Rattus norvegicus: one gene and its partner. The protein of the gene in region 2 interacts with the protein of the main gene of each other region in a pairwise test. Links are inferred from orthologs where the notes say so. Each region holds a gene or a part of one and is shown on either strand. Other genes may lie near its edges.

Region 1 (4,314 bases), on a different chromosome or scaffold from region 2:
TCCCACACATCCACCCTTGCAATCTCCTGGGCTGGAAAGATTCAGCCTCCAGCACTGTTCTCTGTTACTGAACGTATGCATGGGAGAGGGAAGCCTTTCCCCACACCCGACCCCATGCAGCCCTTGCCCTCTTTACTCTCCCCACGACAGCAGACTCATCAAAGCTGGGCCCCACGGCCCTGCCGGTGAGGGAAACAGAACCTAAGGGTAGGAGTGTGGTAGGAAGTGTGGGTACTCACCAGGTGAAGGGTGTCGGCCTTCTGTGTCTGTCTCTGTCGGCTCTTCTGGGCAGCAATGCGGTTCTTCTCTCTCCTCTGAACTTTCCTCACATCATCGGATGAGTCCTAGGAAGCAGAGGTAACAAGGGTAGGTCCGATCATTCCTCTTCTAGTCAAAACTCCTTCCTTCCTTCCTTCCTTCCTTCCTTCCTTCCTTCCTTCCTTCCTGCCTGCCTGCCTGCCTGCCTGCCTGCCTGCCTGCCTTCCTAGTCCTCAGTTCTTTCTGTACCATCCAAAGACATTTTCTTCAGCTTTCCCTGCTACCCGCCCTTGGGTCTCCCGTGGCCTTCTTTTGACCAAAAGCTACTGGAAGGTGAAGAGAAACTGAGGCCTCAGAAGTGCTGCTTTGGGGAACACCAGTTAAGACAACAAGGTCTACCCCAATCACTTCTACTCTCTCCAGACCTGCTTTAGCCTTACTCTGTGTGTGTGGGGGGGGGGTGTGAGTGTGTGTACATGTGTGTATATGTGTGTGCATGTGAGGTGTGTGTGTGTGTGTATATGCACACATGTGTGCATGCACTAGGATCTTCTTGATGTTCCTTTTGCTATTTTCTTTGGAAACTTTGCTGAGCATCTGCCATGTGCCGACTTCTGTACGGGCGCTTTCAGAGGCACTGCGATACAATCCCCCAGCTCCCTGAGCGGCTGCCATCTTTTCTGTTTTACACAGAACAGACTGAGCTCATGCCATCCAGGGGTATGACATGTTCTGGTGCTGTTTCTAAATCCCATCTGAGAATTCCCTCCTGACTATTAATTTCACTGTGATACACCCTTAGGCAGAAGGCACCTCTCTTTCTTTTATTCATTCGTTCCTTGTACAACCATCTTGAGATCTCCCTAGTTCTTAACATGATGCTTACTACAAATGAGGTACCAAAAAATCAATTTATGAAGTGCAGGTCACCTGCTTTTTGGGCCACCAATAGGTGCCTTGGAGGACACAATACTCTTTGGGTGCTCTCTAAGTATATCCTTTGAAGATGAGGGAAGAGAAGCCCTTCTGCATCCCCTACCCTGTCACCTCCACTGGTCTGAGAGGCAAAGATCCTTGGGTCAGGCTCTGACTGCCTTCCCTCTTTACTCAAACTTTCCAGGTCATTCTAGCAGGCCGACATTGAGTTAGAGAGAGCAAGGATGCACTCTTTCTATATAATTCGCCAAGGGACTAGGTTACCATGGCAGCTGTAAGTAATTTCCTTCTTAAGAAGACTAGGGTACCATCTTCCAGGCAGCCTGGGTTGCCCTGATACTACTGTGAGCGAGAGACTGACTGTCTCCTTCTTGAGGTCTTCACCAGTATGGCTTTTGGTGAGGGGCTTGTGACAGATGTGAAAGCAGGTGGTCAGATAGTATATACAGTTATTTTATTTGTAGCATTCTGCAGCTCCCTGGATGTGTGTAAGGCTAGCACTCTACCTCCGAGCTATAGCCCCTCCCGATATGTGTGCTAAAGAAAGAATGTAGTTTTTAAGCTGAGGTGTAAAACAAAGTTTAATCCATGGGTCTAGGCTGGATGAAGAGGAGAAATTTCTAGGGCAAGAAGTATCAAGAATGTGGAAGAGAGACCCAGAAAGTGCAAGGTGGGACGGGCATCCCAACAGAGGCATCTCTCAAACTGAGACTTGGTATCAATCAAGAGTGTAAGAGTCTCAGAATCTTTCCCTCCATCCCCGGATTTTCAGTAACCGATATGAGCTACTGGTGAAGGTCTCCAGCGCGTCTTCTGGTCCATGGGCTTCTTTCTTCTATCTGGAAGCCACAGGGGGAAACAGATACAAGTTGTAGCTTTAGCCTCCCTCCCCACTGGCTGCTCTAGTTACAGAGGCAGTCTGCGGGCAGATCTTGCCGCTCTTTTCCTGTCTTCCTCGCTTTGGTTTACTCTATTCTTTCTTCCTGACTTCGGTCCTGTCTTGCCGCTTGGCTCTTTCTGGAAAGTTCTAGGATTTGGGTGGAGCTCACGGCAGCGATCTACTGGAACATCCCTCTGCTTACGGTTGACCATACTTCTAGGCTCTGTGATAGTCACCCTGCCCCCAGCTTCCTAGAAAGTTTCAAGGTGGGAACCTAAGTGGCAGAGATGAGGGGTACCGCTTGGAAAGGGGGACTTTTGTGGCAGGATGCGAAGGCTTCACCACTTGAACCTCTGTATAGCAAACACCACAAGTCCAGAGTCCGCTAGAAAGCTCTTGCCACGAGCTACTTCCTTCCCCGGCCAGAGCTCCCTGAGCTGAGAGTAGACTGCCCCTTTTCTACCACCCCGGGAAAATCAGAAGACAGCGCATGGGGGACGTGGGGGAGTAATACCTGCTTGCCGGGGGGAGGAGAGCGGCTGAAGCTGGAGTCGCTGCTGTCGGAGCTGTGAGGCATGGTTGTAATCTTCCGGACTCTCCCACACTGTCCCAGATGCCTCTGGGCGATCTTCTCACTAGCAAGCTCCCCTTCTTGACTGCCAGGGGGCCAGCAGCGTACCACCTTCCACAGGTGCCTCCCCTGCTCGTCCTGCAGCTATCTCCGATAGACCCCTGCGTCCTCCTCTCTCTGGGGTGCAGAGGGACTGCTCCCCACAGGGACATCTCGCTCACTTTGGGGCTTGCGCACAGGCCCTCTCTTGTGGTTTCTGGTAATTCAAGCTGGAAGTCACATGGGCGGAAACGTCAACAAGTAAGAAGGTAGCTAGAAAATACACATCTGGGAAAAGACCATAGAAGTAGGTGAAAGAAAAAAAAAGATACACAAACCCCCAGTATCTTCCGGCAGTTTGAGAGCAGAGCTAGTGCTCTTCATTCGATGAAGGTAAAGGAGGAAAAACAGCCAGTTAGGGAAAATCCCCAGCCAGAATTAGCAAGTTCTCTGCTGTCAACATGGCAGAGAGCGGCAGGAAAGAGCCTCCAGGTCACAGGCCTTGATTTTAAAACTTAAATAACAGTAAGGAGCCTGGGAACCGTTTCTGGGTTTCACCCGAAGCCGCTGCCCACCCTGATTTAGGCTGACTTTCCTCATTCACCTACAGGACTGTGCGGTGGTCTGGGGACAAAAGCAAGGAGGGCACTCCCTTTTACAGCCGGCCAAACAGATAGTTGGAGCTACTGAGTCTCGAATGGACGCTAGAGAAGTTTACTATTTATCCCCCGTCTACTTAGCAGGACACTCCCATTCTCTCTAGAGAAAAGATACCTTCTGTGGAGAGGCTCTTTCAAGAGTTCAAGGTTGACCTTGAGTATTCAGGAGTCAATGAGGTCAGAACCCAACGAGGAGAAAATGTCAAAATGAGTGACGGAGGCTCTGGACTTGGAGTGAGATCGGCCATGATGAGAGCCCACCCGACCCCTATTCCTACTTCCCACCCTCACCCATACCCCACACCTGCCTACTATCTCTCAGTTACTGCAACGAGAGGGTGACAATTGGAATAGCAATGTCCCCCACCCTGTGAAGCATGCTGCCTGTGGAGATGGTCGTGCTTGCCATGTGTCCCATGACAGGAACATGCTTGTGATTTTAGTGAACAATCCTATTTTCATCTGGGTCTTTTGGCTAATTAAAAAAAAAAAGTCTGGGCCCTGGAAAGATGTTCAGCAGTTAGTAGTGCTGGCTGCTCCTTCAGAGGATATCGGTTCTGTCCCCAGCATCCACACAGTGGCTCACAACCATCTGTCTCTCCAGTTCCAGGGGACCCTTCTCCCTCTTCCTGCCTCCTCAGGTACCAGGCACACATTCGATGTGCAGGCCAAACACTCACACATATTAAGATAAAAGCTCTCACTACATTCTCAGTATGGCTCAAATGTTCCTTGTTTAACCTGAGGACTGACAATATGTTATAGCTCCTAAAGCATTTTATTATCCACTAATTAAAGTTTTAGTATCCACTGACTGAAATTCCGCCTGACAGCAATATGGTTCTAAGGACAAACTTAGCAAAATAAAAAACTTCAACCCCTGTGGAATTTGTAGTTAGTGGTGAGAGCAGACGGTAAACAACTGAGCTGACATAATACATCAGGGGGTGACAATTGTCACAGATAAAAAA
Region 2 (3,645 bases):
TGGAGGGGGCGTGGGCGCGGCGGGGCTCAGGCGCCAGCCTGTTAAAAGCCGCTCGGGTGGCTCCCAGGGCTCCGGAGAGCACAGCCCTCCCACCGCGGGCGCCCTGGACCCCGGCCTGGGGCTTTCCGCGCCCAGAAAGCCGCCTGCCCGGGAAAATCCCGGCCCCCTTCCCGGCGCCGCGGCCCTGCCCGGCAGAGAAGGGGGAGGGGATTCCCGGAATCTGCCCGGAGACCGCGCTGGCGTCACTGAGCTGAATAGGCCCATATATGGGCAGCGCTTCCGTAACGTCAGCGGGGAAAGCCCCGGCGCACGGGGCTGGGCGGGGCCGTGCTTGCACATTCCGGGTTTTGTCCTGGGCCTGGATAGCTTGTTCTCGGCCACTGCCTGCCTGCGCAGCGTCTGGTGCCAGGACTCAGGGGATGGGAGGTTTGAGCGCTTGTACTGGACCTTAAGATACCCGAAAGGAGAGAACTACAAACTGCCCCGGGCTTGGGGCAGCCCAATCTTCTCCCTCCATCCGCCCAGCTTGGAAGAAAGAGACCACAGAAATTAATAAAGACTTTTTTTTTACTTAAATAGATTCAATAAAAAGTCAAACACACACACAAACACATCTTAAAATAGACTTTAGACACGAAGTGCGTGTTTCTTCTCCACAGTACTGTGCAGAGGGGGAGGGCAGGGGGCGGAGGTTCCTCCCTAGTATCCCCACAGGCTGAGTACCAGGCGGCGGGGCCAGCTCCGCCGCGACAACCCCCTTCTCCCCTCCCTGTTAAATACACAAATATATTATATTCAATATGAATTCAGTCTCTTTCCAGAAAAAAAAAACATACAAAATACGCTGGAAGGGGGCCATGTAAACCTCGAGGTGGAAGGACTGGGCGCAGGCGGGCAGGCCAGAGTCCAGTGTGTGAGCTGCGCCCCAGACCTCTGGGCGAGTGCCCATCGCCTGCCCCCCTCACCCCAGTGGGGGGCGGGCGCCCAGCCTTCAAGGCTGGGGGTGTCCGTATGGAGCAAGGGAGGCTCTCAGAAGGCGTGTCCCTTGACCCCTAGCAGCAACTGGCAGCCGTTGCTGACGTGGGTCATGACCTTCTGCTTGAGCTGCGCCACTTGCTCCCGTAGGAGGCCGGCAGTACTTGACAGCCCCGCGTTCTCAGCCTTGAGTGTCTTCACCTTGTCCTCCAGGCGCGCGATGCGCTCCAGCTTCCGCTTCCGGCATTTGGTGGCCGCCAGCCTGTTCCGCAGCCGCTTTCGCTCCACTTTGATGCGCTCCTGGTCTTCCATGTTGATGGGGGACACAGGCGGCGTGGCGTCGCGGCTGCGTGCCTCCGGTACGGTCTGCGGTTCCTCTTTAAAGGCGGAAGCGCCGCGACTCAAGCCCAGCTGCGCCGGGTGGCCGCCCGCAAAGGGTGGTGCATGTGGGAGGTAGCTGATGGTGGCCGTCGGGTATGAGCTCCCAGTCCCGACGGCGGTCCCGGAACCTCCAGAGGGTGCAGAGGCTGGGGAGTAACTGCTGAGGTTGGTGTAGACCGGAGGCGGCTCCGGACCAGCATAGACGCCCCCAGGCCCGGCCTGGGGACCCCCGCTGGCGCCCAGAGACACGTTGGGGGGCGTCACGTGGTTCATCTTGTGCAGGTCGTCCAGGGCTTTGACAAAACCGTCCGCAAAGCCCTCCTGCTCCTCGGTGACGCCGCCCCCTGTACCTCCGCCGCTGCCGCCCCCACGGGGGTAAAAGTACTGTCCCGGAGGCGTGGGCGTCGTCGTGATCACGCCGTTGCTGTTGGGGACGATCAAGCGCTCCAGTTCCGTGGAGGCTAGCTTCAGAGATGCGCCTGTGTCTGATCCCTGACCCGAAAAGTAGCTGCCTGCCCCACTGCCCTCTGGGCCTGGACCCCGCGCCCCAGGACCCTTGAGACCCCGATAAGGATCTGCCAGGTTGAGCGCTAAGGTGGGTTTCAGGAGTTTGTAGTCGTGAAGAGAAAGACTGCCAGGGCTCCGACCGTATCCTGCCGCTGCGTATGAGTCGTCGTGATAGAAAGGCTGTTCCATTTTCGTGCACATCCGGGCGGCCTGGGCGATCTGGGAAAGGTCCCCCTGAAGGGCCGCTCCGGGCCTCGCTGCGGCGACCGGCGAGCTGTCCTCGGCTGTGGCGGGACCCGGCGTCCGGTCGCGCGTCCTCGGGAGCTGGAGACGGTCGGCAGCGGCCAGTTGGTAGCTGTGCGTAAAAGCGCTGCCCGGCTTCTGGAGCTTTTCTCTCCCTCCGTGGTGCGCCCGCTTTCTCAGCGTCTCTTCTCTCAGCTCCCCGCTCCCTGCAGGATCCAAAGCTGGCCTGGCCACCCTCAAGGTCCCCAGTGTTCGGCCCCAGCCCCAAGCTTTTATACTGAATTTGTCAGCTGCGGAAGTGCACTCCGATTGGCCGACGCGGGAGCCAGGCCCCCGCGGCCCCCTCCTAGAGCGTGGGGAAGGGGAGGAGGCGGCTCGCGTCACTGTCAGGAAGCGCGTGTCCTTGTAAACAGCGGCCACGAGCCCGGTGGCTCTGCGCGGCTGCAGGGGGAGGGGCTGTAGAGACAGAGACACTCAAGCAAAGGGATGTTGAGGGACCGAGGCACATAGGAGTTAGGACTGCGGGAGTACAACCCGGTGGCTATGAGATCTCTGTACACTGCAAGTGGAGATGGGGTGCCTCAGGATATACCCGGAATAGTCTCGCGGGACCCACAATAGCTGTGACTTGTGAACTGACAATATACTAGAAGACCCCAGAAAACAGGGAAGGTACAAAACGGGAGCAATTGTTAACATTTGACCTAGGAATTAACTAGAGGCCCCGAGTGCAAAGTGCTTAAAGAACAGGTGGGAGAGAAGGTTCAGGAAGCAGGGTCAGGTACCTATTGTATAAGAAATGAGTAGGGGCTCTAAAGCCCACAGATGAGTCTGAGGGTTCTCCCATAAGTGGAAAAGGGGAGTAATTTTGGGGAGGTCAATTTAGATATGCAGAAAGTGAACAAGGGTCCTGGAAACGCTGAGGCAATAGGAGTAGAAGATGGGAACATATCTAGCAAAGATTGGGGTCACTGTGATTATTTGCAGAACTCTGATGGAAAGTTAAAATGGTCAGGACATGGCTTCCTTCTGAGCTGTAAAGGCGATGCCAGGAGGGTATCTGAGATCTACCCGAGAGGACGACTTGGAGGATCCCAGAGACAAGGGGCTTGTAAGAATGAGACTGTACCTCGTAAGTGGTCTCTAGGCACTGACATACCCTGTACCTGAGTCCAAAGCCTCCCCTTAGTCACTCTGGGCTCGCCCGATATCCTGTCAGCTTTTGGAGGGCCGAAGAGGCGGGATAGCTGGGGTGCGGTCGCCCAACCCCACTCCCTTCCTTAGAAACAGGCTAGGGAAAAAGAGCCGAGGCAGGAAGTGTGGCAATAGCCCGGAGGGGGAAAGAGCCCGGCCCTGTCTCGTCATTCTGAGCCTAAGGGTTGGTGCACCCTAGCCTGGGCCTGCCAAATTCTGCGCCTGGGAAGAGGAACCCCAGCGAGCGACCCCTGGGGAAGTCACAATCCAGCTGAGTACGCCTCTAGTCATAGTCTACTCTCCCCCCATCTAGAAATGGTTCAGCTTGCAACCTTGGGCGATTAC

What was found.
Region 1: the proteins of Junb (region 2) and Batf interact in binary tests that used the Homo sapiens proteins (3 or more experiments, as listed by UniProt). The link is inferred for Rattus norvegicus from reciprocal best matches to the Homo sapiens genes JUNB and BATF.

Annotation. Positions count from the first base shown.
Region 1 is NC_086024.1:111,083,289-111,087,602, reverse strand, and holds the start of Batf (basic leucine zipper transcriptional factor ATF-like), read right to left. Parts: upstream 2,887-4,314; 5' UTR 2,652-2,886; coding exon 2,589-2,651; intron 345-2,588; coding exon 240-344; intron 1-239. UniProt on the Homo sapiens protein: AP-1 family transcription factor that controls the differentiation of lineage-specific cells in the immune system: specifically mediates the differentiation of T-helper 17 cells (Th17), follicular T-helper cells (TfH), CD8(+) dendritic cells and class-switch recombination (CSR) in B-cells.
Region 2 is NC_086037.1:40,079,815-40,083,459, reverse strand, and holds Junb (transcription factor JunB), read right to left. Parts: upstream 2,335-3,645; 5' UTR 2,065-2,334; coding exon 1,030-2,064; 3' UTR 550-1,029; downstream 1-549. UniProt on the Homo sapiens protein: Transcription factor involved in regulating gene activity following the primary growth factor response. Binds to the DNA sequence 5'-TGA[GC]TCA-3'.